3 linked regions of the Coturnix japonica genome follow. The protein of the gene in region 1 purifies or fractionates together with the protein of each later gene. This does not show direct contact. Links are inferred from orthologs where the notes say so. Each region holds a gene or a part of one and is shown on either strand. Other genes may lie near its edges.

Region 1 (3,653 bases):
TCTGCCACCTCAATTAGAACCACATGGAAATGTGGTGAGTTCAGAACTGCAAAAAGGAGGATGAGAAGATGGAAGAGAAGCCGAGGCAACGTGCTGCTCTCCTTATTTGTAGCCATGGTGCACAGCAGGGTCCAGAACCTTCTCCCTCCTTGCCGGCAGACGAGTTTGTACTGGCAAGGCTTCAAGCTGGTGTCCCCAGTGCACCAGTTAAACCAGTAGTTACCAATTTTTTTGCAAGCCGCTGTGGGACTATAGGAATTTTATTCCTTCACAGTGTTGAAGGAAAGGGGCTTTGCTTGCCAAAGGGCTTTCTTATGCTTGGGGATGATTTATGGGCCAAGCTGAGCCACTTGTGGAAAAGGCAAAGCAGCTCTTGGCAGCACCCCCAGAATCCACTGCAGCTGTGGGGTAGTGAAGTCATCGGCATAACAACCACTGCAAACAGAATAACAAAGTCTGTTCTGTTCTCGTTTAAAATAATCTTTCCAGTTCAGCAACCACATTAAAATTTACCTTTCTGCATACAAAAATAATAAAAGGCAGATACTTCTTTGCAACATGGTGTGAATGTCTCACTTACATTTCTGCCTGTCACTCCTGCACCACCTACACTTTACCTGGGTGCTTTAAATGGAGGAATGAAACCACGTTGTGTTGTAATTTGTGCCTGCCCCATGTTTGCACTCCTTTGTTGTTCCTAAGAGTTAAAAATGTAGGCAAAAAGTGATGTTTCTTAGTTTCAGATACAAAACTTGCCTTTGCTTCATATCTCATTTCTAAGCTGATTGCAAAATGAGTAACTGTCTTTGATTTCTTCTGTCTTTACTTCAGGTCCCTTCAGATCCTCCTGCTTCCAAGAAAACCAAATTAGACGACTCTGCTTCCCAATCTCCAGCTTCTACCGAGAAGGAAAAGCAGTCCAGTTGGTTACGGTCCTTATCCAGTTCGTCTAATAAGGTGATTGCTGAGTATTCTGTAATTAAAAGAGAGATCAAATGACCGTGTAACATCCCTCTACTAAAACCAGAGGAGTTAATGTGAGAAAGACCTTGCCCAGGCTTTCTAAATTAATCACATTTCTATCCTTTTCCTAGCAAGCATTGAGCTATGCGGTCCTCCCAATTCCCTTGCCATCTTCCAGTGTTCACTGACCTTGATTGTGATGATGGAGTAAGCAATTCCTTCGTGCCTTTGAGGTACAAGAATCCTGAAACTCAGGAGCCTCACGTGGTCTGTGCAAACCACGGATAACTTGCTGGCAAAGAAAAGAGAACGTGGGGTTTCACATTGGTGGAGTTACCTCTTCTAGTGGAACCCGCTAAGCCAATAGGCCTTAGCCAGTGGGGGAGCAGCTTTAGAGATAAGAGAACACATACTTAACAGAACTATTAGTGCTCTGTTGGGATTAATACTTTTTAAAGATTGTTTGTACTTACTTTTCCTTCTCCTCCTTCCCAGAGTATTGGCTGTGTCCATCCCCGTCAGCGTCTCTCAGCTTTCCGGCCCTGGTCCCCTGCTGTATCAGCAAACGAGAAAGAGCTCTCAACCCATCTTCCTGCATTGATCCGAGACAGGTAAGGAGGTGGCTGCTGAGGGAGGAATGGGGCTGGCAACTGTGGAGAATAATTGGCGAGCAAGTTGCTTTATGTTTGTTGCCTTGCACTGTTTGTTAGTTGATCAGTTCACTAGTATTGGAATAAAAAGTATTTGCAGTTGCAGTGTTTTAGTTAGCAGGAAGGAAACAAAAAATATTACTGGCATTGCGTGCATTCATTAAATATGTTTGTTAAGTGGGCATTTGGGTGAAATGTGCTGTAAGAGTCTGAAATGGTGGCTGCTTCCATGAAGTGCAGATAATTTGGGGGAACAGTTAGCAGAAACTCTCAGGGTGTTTAAAGGTGTCAGAGGAGGCCTTCAGGCACCCAAAGTTGGGGAAAAAATACCTAAACCTCCATCATTTTCAGTGTAATTAGATGGATTGGGAAGCGTTTTCAAGTCCAAGAATATGACTGTTTTCTCCTTCCTTCTGCTCCCTCCTCTCAAGCAGTTTTTACTCCTACAAAAGCTTTGAGAATGCAGTGGCTCCCAATGTGGCACTCGCACCTCCTGCCCAACAGAAAGTTGTGAGCAACCCACCCTGTGCCACAGTGGTGTCCCGGAGCAGCGAACCACCAAGCAGCACTGCACAGCCACGGAAAAGAAAACATGCTGCAGAGACCCCGGCTGTCCCAGAGCCAGTGGCCACTGTTACTGCCCCTGAAGAGGATAAGGAATCAGAAGCAGAAATTGAAGTAGAGACCAGGGAGGAATGTAAGTGTAGATCTGCCTTTATTTGTGCTCTAACCCCCAGCAGTTAGCTACTGAACTCTGTTGTATTCAAATATGATTCTGGAGGCCTGATACCTCAATGGCACATTAAGATACAGCCTTTGGTAATAATGAAAAGTTCATAACTAAACAGCAAAGCCTTTGTGGGGTATGAACATGTAGCCCATGTGTTCAGCCTGAGAGTGCAGTTGTAGTTTCAGAGCTACAGCCATGCAGCTGAATGTATAAGGCAGGGATCAGGATTCAGAATGTTCTTAGACAGTATTGGCGTCTTGGGCCCCTCAGTGAAAGATGAAGATAGAGCTGTTCCCTTCCCAAAACATCCTTTAGAGAATCCTGCTGCTGATCTCAGTATGTTCAGTCCAAACCTGTGTGCAGTTTTGGCAAAGGAACAGGTTCTACCCACTGAAAAAGCCAGGATCACATAGAGCTGTGATGTAAGACAAAGTCACAATTCAAGCAATAAGTTGGTCCTCTGAGTTACTCAGGTTTGCATTCTCATCACACTTCAAGCCTCAAAGTATAAAACGAGTATTTTCTTTCTTCCATTTTTTTCATTAATTATTGACTGTCTCCTCTTTAGAAATGGGGCTCAACATATTTTGAGTTACATTTGTTTTCTACATTATTTTTTTTTTATTAATTTTAGATGTTTCTATTTTTCAGTCACCTCCTCCTTATCCTCGCTCTCCTCCCCATCCTTTACTTCATCCAGCTCTGCAAAGGACATGAGCTCACCTGGGATGCAAGCCCCAGTCCCAGTCAACAGTTCATATGAGGTTGCAGCACATTCTGACTCTCACAGCAGTGGGTTGGAAGCTGAGCTGGAGCACCTAAGGCAGGCCCTGGACAGTGGCCTAGATACAAAAGAAGCCAAAGAAAAATTCCTCCATGAAGTTGTTAAAATGAGAGTGAAGCAGGAAGAGAAGCTAAATGCTGCCTTGCAAGCCAAACGCAGCCTACATCAGGTAATGTTGAAGAATAGCTTTCTCTTATCACTGTCTGCAGATGCTCTTCCAGATAGAAACCATTAAGTTGTCTCATGTTAGAAAGAATTGCCTCATTTTTCCCAAATAGCAACAGCCTTTACTGGAGAAGGGTTTGTAAATTCAGCTGGGAAACCAAACTATACAGGAACCATTCTTTTTTTCTTTTTTTTCAAGCTTGCCACCTGTTTTTGCTTTAGAGGATAAATCCATGGTTACCAAAATCAACATTTTTCCTTTACTGAAAAAAAATCCTTCTATCCCAGCACAGTTTATTTGACTTTAATTTCACTGAAACGTCTCCGTCATTTTGGAGCTTTTACTTATAGTTTAAAAGAT
Region 2 (2,307 bases), on another chromosome or scaffold:
ACGTGTTCTGTATATTGATATTGATATCCATCACGGAGATGGCGTGCAGGAAGCTTTCTACTTGACAGACCGTGTCATGACCGTGTCGTTTCATAAATATGGCAACTATTTCTTTCCTGGTACAGGTATGTAGCTTTCTTTGCTGTGTGAACTTGGCCTTGTTTCAGAGTCCTTCAAAAGTGCTGCTGGTGTTTAGGGGTCTAAAATGATTATAGAACTACAGGGACAAATGTTGGAAGGAGGGGCATGGAGAAGCAGCTAGAGAGGAACAGAACTATAATTCTTTGTAGTAAAGAGATTGTAGCTGGGTTAACAGACCAGATCTGGCCTTCTGGCTCCTCTTAGGGCTGTTGTGACTCTTCTGTCTTTCCTTGGCCAGGGGACATGTATGAAGTTGGTGCGGAGAGCGGTCGTTATTATTGTCTCAACGTGCCTCTACGAGATGGTATCGATGACCAAAGTAAGTTGGTGTCCCTTGCCCAAATGTTCTTTGATCCTTTTCTCCAGAGCCATGACAAACTTATTTTTCTCCCCAAAGGTTATAAACACCTCTTCCAACCAGTCATTAACCAGGTGGTAGATTACTATCAGCCCACCTGCATCGTATTGCAGGTAAGGAAATAAGCCTTTGTGCACATGCACGTTCTTGTCAGTGGCTGTAGTTCGAAGGGCCATTTCTCAAACATGTTACTTTCTGTTCCTGGGAGGTCAGGGTTGGTGTGACCCATCTGAACTGCTGGCTGAAATCACCTTTGCTGAATGCAGTTGGCAGAGGGGTAGGGATGCCAATGTGTGTCTGGAAATCAATGCCTATCTAGCCAAAATTCAATTGTTCTTTTTCTCTTCCCCAGTGTGGTGCGGATTCTCTGGGTTGTGACCGTTTGGGCTGCTTTAACCTCAGTATAAGAGGACATGGGTAAGTACAGCAGGGTTGGGACACAGCAAAAGGACTGCAGGTGGTCCTGCATTGTAAGACCTGAGCTTTGACTTTGGCCTTCCAGCTGCACCAACTTTGCTTTAAACTGCTGTGTGACAGAGACTCTCATAATGGGGCTTTGTAGAAAAGCAGTAGTTCACAGAGTAGCACATGGTTCAGGACCTGAGTAGGAGCCCTGAGCCCCATGTTTGTCACACCAGCCGTGGTGGTGAATGAACACACAGTGAAACTTTGGGCATGTGAATGTGTGCTGCAGGTAGCAGCTCTGATGTGTTTCTTTGGGGTTTCTAGGGAGTGTGTGGAGTACGTAAAGAGTTTCAACATCCCCTTACTGGTGCTGGGAGGAGGCGGTTACACAGTCCGCAATGTGGCACGGTGCTGGTGAGTCTTATGGGCCTGTTGTATATTTGATGAGGCATTTGCTGTGGGCTTTGTCCCTACATGCACCCTGTTGCTTTCTCTGGACTGAGCTCATCTTAATCTGGTTTTTGGTTTTTTTTCAGGACTTACGAAACATCGTTGCTTGTAGATGAAGCAATTAGTGAGGAGCTCCCATATAGTGGTAAGTTCAGGTTCCCTTGTTTTCCTTATTAGTTGAGCTAAAGCAGTTGTATCAGCATAAGACTTAGCACTTCATTCTGTGTTGACCAGGGCCAAAGAGACAACACTTTTTAACCTTACTTAGTCCTGATTCCCTTCCATCTCCCCTTTGTAGGCTTATCTGATGCAGTAAGGATGTGTCTGCTCAGCATTTTGTTTGGATCACTTCAATGACTCGAGCATTACTTCTGCTGACTCTCATTTCATGTAATTTTTTGCAGTTGCAGAGTTGTACATCACTGTGGTTTATAGGGTCTGGTTACCTCTAGCAAGGTGGGAGGGTGAGCTCTGCTTCCCTACAGAGCTCTGCATCTGCTGACTGACTCCTTTGCCCTCCTGCTTTAAATCCTGCTCATGCTTTCACAGAGTACTTTGAATACTTCGCTCCAGATTTCACTCTTCATCCTGACGTCAGTACAAGGATAGAAAATCAGAACTCCAGGCAGGTGAGTGCCTGCATGTCTGGCCCCAGAACCTTGTGGTAGATGCTCTATCCTGCAAAATGAGATGGAGCCCAGGCTAGGAATTGTGGCTGCAGAAAGCTGATAGAGAAAAGCAAATACATTTGCTCTGGCACAACAGAAAGTCTCAAAGGGTCTATAATATTTCTGAACTCTGCTGGATTGTCCTACTTTTTTCTGAGTGCTGGAGCCTCAGTGATTGAATTAACTTTCCCATCTCTTCTGCTCTGCTGAATAGCTTTCTGCACAAAGGCATTTCTCATGGCCACCACACAGATGATGTAGGCAGGCAGTAGAGCTGACTGTTGT
Region 3 (3,653 bases), on another chromosome or scaffold:
CACCGGCAAAGGAGCAGGATCAGTCAGCACCACTCCTCTCCAACCAAAAGGTGGATACATGAAAGGAGCTGCTTACCTCTTTACACAGTGGCGTCCGCCCCGTGCACTTGGGCTGCTGGTAGCTCTTGGGCAAGGCGCGGTAGCTGGAGCCCAGCCTTTTACAGGAGGCATAGTCTATCTCCATGGCAATCCCTTCAGTTGCCCGTTCCTTGGGATACGTCTCCATATGAACAGACTCCTTATAGCCCAGAAAGTTTTTAAACCAAGTGAACAGTTCGGGAAATTTCCTAGAAATAAAAGGAATGAAGTGAAAAAAAACCCATCCAGCTAAACAGGAAGCAGCATGCGGTGCTGAGCTGTGCTACTGAGGCTAGAAATGCTTGTAAGAGACACAGATGCCCAAGAAGACCCTCTGAAGCAGTTTGGTGTGAGGACCTCTCTGCTCAATCCCACTTGCACCAAGTGGGAACCAAGTTCCTGTTGGTCAGGTGGTGGACAGCTGCAGTGATATGAGAAATCGGGCCTGTTACTGGAATCACTGCTCATCTATTGCTTTCCTATTACACGACTGAAAGTAATGTCTGACTTCAGAGTAAGAGAACTGCAGGACACCTTTTCCAACACAGATATTCACCCTTCCAGCACAGGTGGAAAATGGAAGAAACCCAGGTTGTTGTTTATTTATGTTGAATATTTCACCTTTCCTAACCAAAACCAGCGTCCTGCTGATGCCTAATTCCAATGGAGCTGCAGAAAACATAAGTTCTTTGGGGTACTTGCCTTGCACAGCAACCAACATAATGGGGTCTCAAACCCAATTTACATTGCTGCTGCCCTCTGCCTAGGAACCAGGAGCTCAAATCACAGAAACAGTTGCCCCAAGCTGATGAGAGGATAATTATTAGTGATTTTTTGTGATTAATACAGACTCATTCTGTACAGTACTCGAAGTTATAATTTCTATTAAACAACAGTACTGATTATCAGGTTTGGCTTCAGGGCAGAACACAGTTGCTTTTTTGGTAATTTTAATGGCTTTGTATAAGCACTCCTTTATTTTTTAGGGGACATTTCCTATGTAATTGGACAGTTGAGCTTTTCTTGAGTGAAATAATCTATGGTTCCAGAGCATGAGGCCACAATAGCATGATGTGGACTAGTAATAATACAACGATAATACAAACTACACAGCCACAAAGGTTGGCATTTCATTCCCTGCTGCGCATCACCAACAGATGCACTGGATTTAGCTTCTCCCCTCACACAAAGAAGCAGGCTCCACTTACCCCAGGAAAGGGGAAACTAGCTGCACCAGCTCTGCACGGGATATCACCTCCTGGTTGAAAATAACCAGGCAGCGAAGGAAGTTTTCATATGCTTCTGTGCTTCGCAGAGCTTTGCGGACCTTGGGGAAGAAGAGGGGAAAGGGTTAAGGTGAGAGCAGCTCGTCCATCAGAACCCAGGAGGTTTGCATTCAACACTGTGCTTCCTCCACCTATGCAGGACTTTGTTGGAGAGGCTCCAAGGAGCCAGAAAGAAGAAGGAAGCCATCTCCTTGCTGTTACGCCTGCCACTCAAGTGCATTACCTTGAGATGAATGAAACTCCCAGCAGCTGGACCACAGACAAGCCCAGTTGTGCCTGCAGCACCATGGACCCACCTGGGTGGGGATCAAGGCTAAGAGACCCATGTCACAGTGAACACCCCTCCAGCCCCCCCACCACATTACAGCTCAAATCATCCCAGATGCAGCAAGCTCTGCAGCCCTCAGCACGAGAAAACAGTGCAATTCATTCCAACACCATTACTTTTCCCACGAGAACAGTTAGCATCTACACATCAAACAGATCTATCATTATTAAGGAATTCATCATTACAGTTACAGTTCTGCAGCAGGGATTTCTACGTTTACTCATGGGAACACCTACGCATCCTCCGAGTGATAGAGTGGTTCCCAGTCCCCACCAGCTGGTTTAGTGTGCTGAAAAACACACGTCAGCAAGGCTCTGATGCCAAGCCTTTCTCCCACAGAGCATCAGCAGCAGGTGAGAAGGTAAAGAATGACCCCCAGGGAAAACAAAAAGACACAGACGTCCGTGTAAAGAACACTACCAGTCTTTTATAAAATGCAGCAGATCTGACACAGAGGTCAGACAATACAGCTGAGGTCAAGTAGACCGATGTTATCAGCGTGGCATATATATCCCAGACCTCACTGTGACAAAGAAATCAGGATGTATGCAGGCTACAGGCATCAATCAGTGACACCAGAGCGTACTCTCTCAGTCTCACCGCTCACCTTCTCAAAGAACAGGGATTCTGTCCCCACACCATGCTTGCTGGCTTCTGCCAAGGACTGGTCTTTTAAACCAAGCAGCTTTGGTTTCTTCTGTTAAGAAATAACACAGAAAAGGGCTGTTCAGCAGAGGAAGTCACTGTATTTTGACCACGTATCACGCAAGGGCTTCAGCCTCCAAACCACACCACTTGTTCTCAAACATAAGAGGGGCTTTTTCAGAAGGAAACTTGTTTAAAACGTGGCCTCCACGTTAACCTATTCATCTTCAATTAGTTGCACAGAACACCTTGTATTTTTAATACAAGGTGATATCTTTTCCTCTAACAAGTTGACTGAAACAATCACTGCTTGTAGTATCTCAGTTTCTAACTAGTGTGCAGGATTATCAGGACATTTTTAAACCATCATCAATCATTCAGTTGACTCTTACACCTCCCTAAAAGCAGTGAACTTCTACCTCCTGTACTCCACAAAGGCTTAAAGCTGCCTCCGAACAGGTTTTAATTGGCTGCATTTTGAGGAGAAAAGCTGGAAGGGGAAGAAAGTCACTGGATTTAAATGATACAGCTGGATGTGCCAATACTTTTCTTCCCCACACAAGACATAGCACACAAAGCAAGCACACTTGTCCTAGTGCAGAGGCTCTAAACCCACCAGACCATTCTTCTGACACAGCTAAGCCTTGCGCTCTCAAAATGTGAGTAAGCTGAAGAGGGCAAACTCAGCTGCAGGAATCATCATTTATTGCTGCACGACAACATTTATCACATGAAAAATGAATAAGCCTGATTCTGCTCTAAGTTTTGCTTTAGTTTCCTGGGAAACACAAAGCTGCTGAGCTAGAAGCACGTGCCATTACCTTCACTGGAGGGGTTGTCCCCGCACCCGAGTGCCGCCGGATCTGACAGCCGTTCTGGTTGGGTCTTTGCTGCTTGTTGTTGAGCTGTGGCTTCTTTACTGTGCCACCGTGATCATTTCTCACTGACTCCACCTTCTCTGCAGTCGTCTTGCTTAACAGCTTAGTTACAAACAAAGGCACAAGACCATCAGAGCCGAGCTTTACCTCCTCAGCCAAACACTAGTACGCCTGCTCCTCCCAGCTCTAGGTGACCAAACTACCTTACTATGGTTATGGAAGCCTTAGAACAACCCTTCCAAGCAAAGGAATTGTATTGAAAAGACTAGTTATTGACAGAAAACAGTCTATCATCCTGACCCATCTCCTAAACTCCATAAAATATGACCACTCCAACAATGAAAGACAAGAAAAGCCTGTTGTTCTGAGCACTGGCTCCCTATATGAGCACTTCCCCACTAAGTACTCCAGCCCCAGCCTGCCTCAAATAGACTCACC

The links.
Region 2: the proteins of SKI (region 1) and HDAC3 purify together in Homo sapiens (affinity purification with western blotting; 4 studies listed by BioGRID and IntAct, with this or other methods). This does not show direct contact. The link is inferred for Coturnix japonica from reciprocal best matches to the Homo sapiens genes SKI and HDAC3.
Region 3: the proteins of SKI (region 1) and SIN3A purify together in Homo sapiens (affinity purification with western blotting; 3 studies listed by BioGRID and IntAct, with this or other methods). This does not show direct contact. The link is inferred for Coturnix japonica from reciprocal best matches to the Homo sapiens genes SKI and SIN3A.

What each region holds. Positions count from the first base shown.
Region 1 is NC_029536.1:1,422,677-1,426,329, reverse strand, and holds part of SKI (ski oncogene), read left to right. Parts: intron 1-831; coding exon 832-957; intron 958-1,458; coding exon 1,459-1,574; intron 1,575-2,044; coding exon 2,045-2,310; intron 2,311-2,994; coding exon 2,995-3,296; intron 3,297-3,653. UniProt on the Homo sapiens protein: May play a role in terminal differentiation of skeletal muscle cells but not in the determination of cells to the myogenic lineage. Functions as a repressor of TGF-beta signaling.
Region 2 is NC_029528.1:14,744,395-14,746,701, forward strand, and holds part of HDAC3 (histone deacetylase 3), read left to right. Parts: coding exon 1-125; intron 126-379; coding exon 380-460; intron 461-538; coding exon 539-612; intron 613-851; coding exon 852-916; intron 917-1,228; coding exon 1,229-1,318; intron 1,319-1,440; coding exon 1,441-1,499; intron 1,500-1,903; coding exon 1,904-1,983; intron 1,984-2,307. UniProt on the Homo sapiens protein: Histone deacetylase that catalyzes the deacetylation of lysine residues on the N-terminal part of the core histones (H2A, H2B, H3 and H4), and some other non-histone substrates.
Region 3 is NC_029525.1:1,972,706-1,976,358, forward strand, and holds part of SIN3A (paired amphipathic helix protein Sin3a), read right to left. Parts: coding exon 3,653-3,653; intron 3,318-3,652; coding exon 3,159-3,317; intron 2,390-3,158; coding exon 2,300-2,389; intron 1,406-2,299; coding exon 1,287-1,405; intron 288-1,286; coding exon 77-287; intron 1-76. UniProt on the Homo sapiens protein: Acts as a transcriptional repressor. Corepressor for REST. Interacts with MXI1 to repress MYC responsive genes and antagonize MYC oncogenic activities. Also interacts with MXD1-MAX heterodimers to repress transcription by tethering SIN3A to DNA.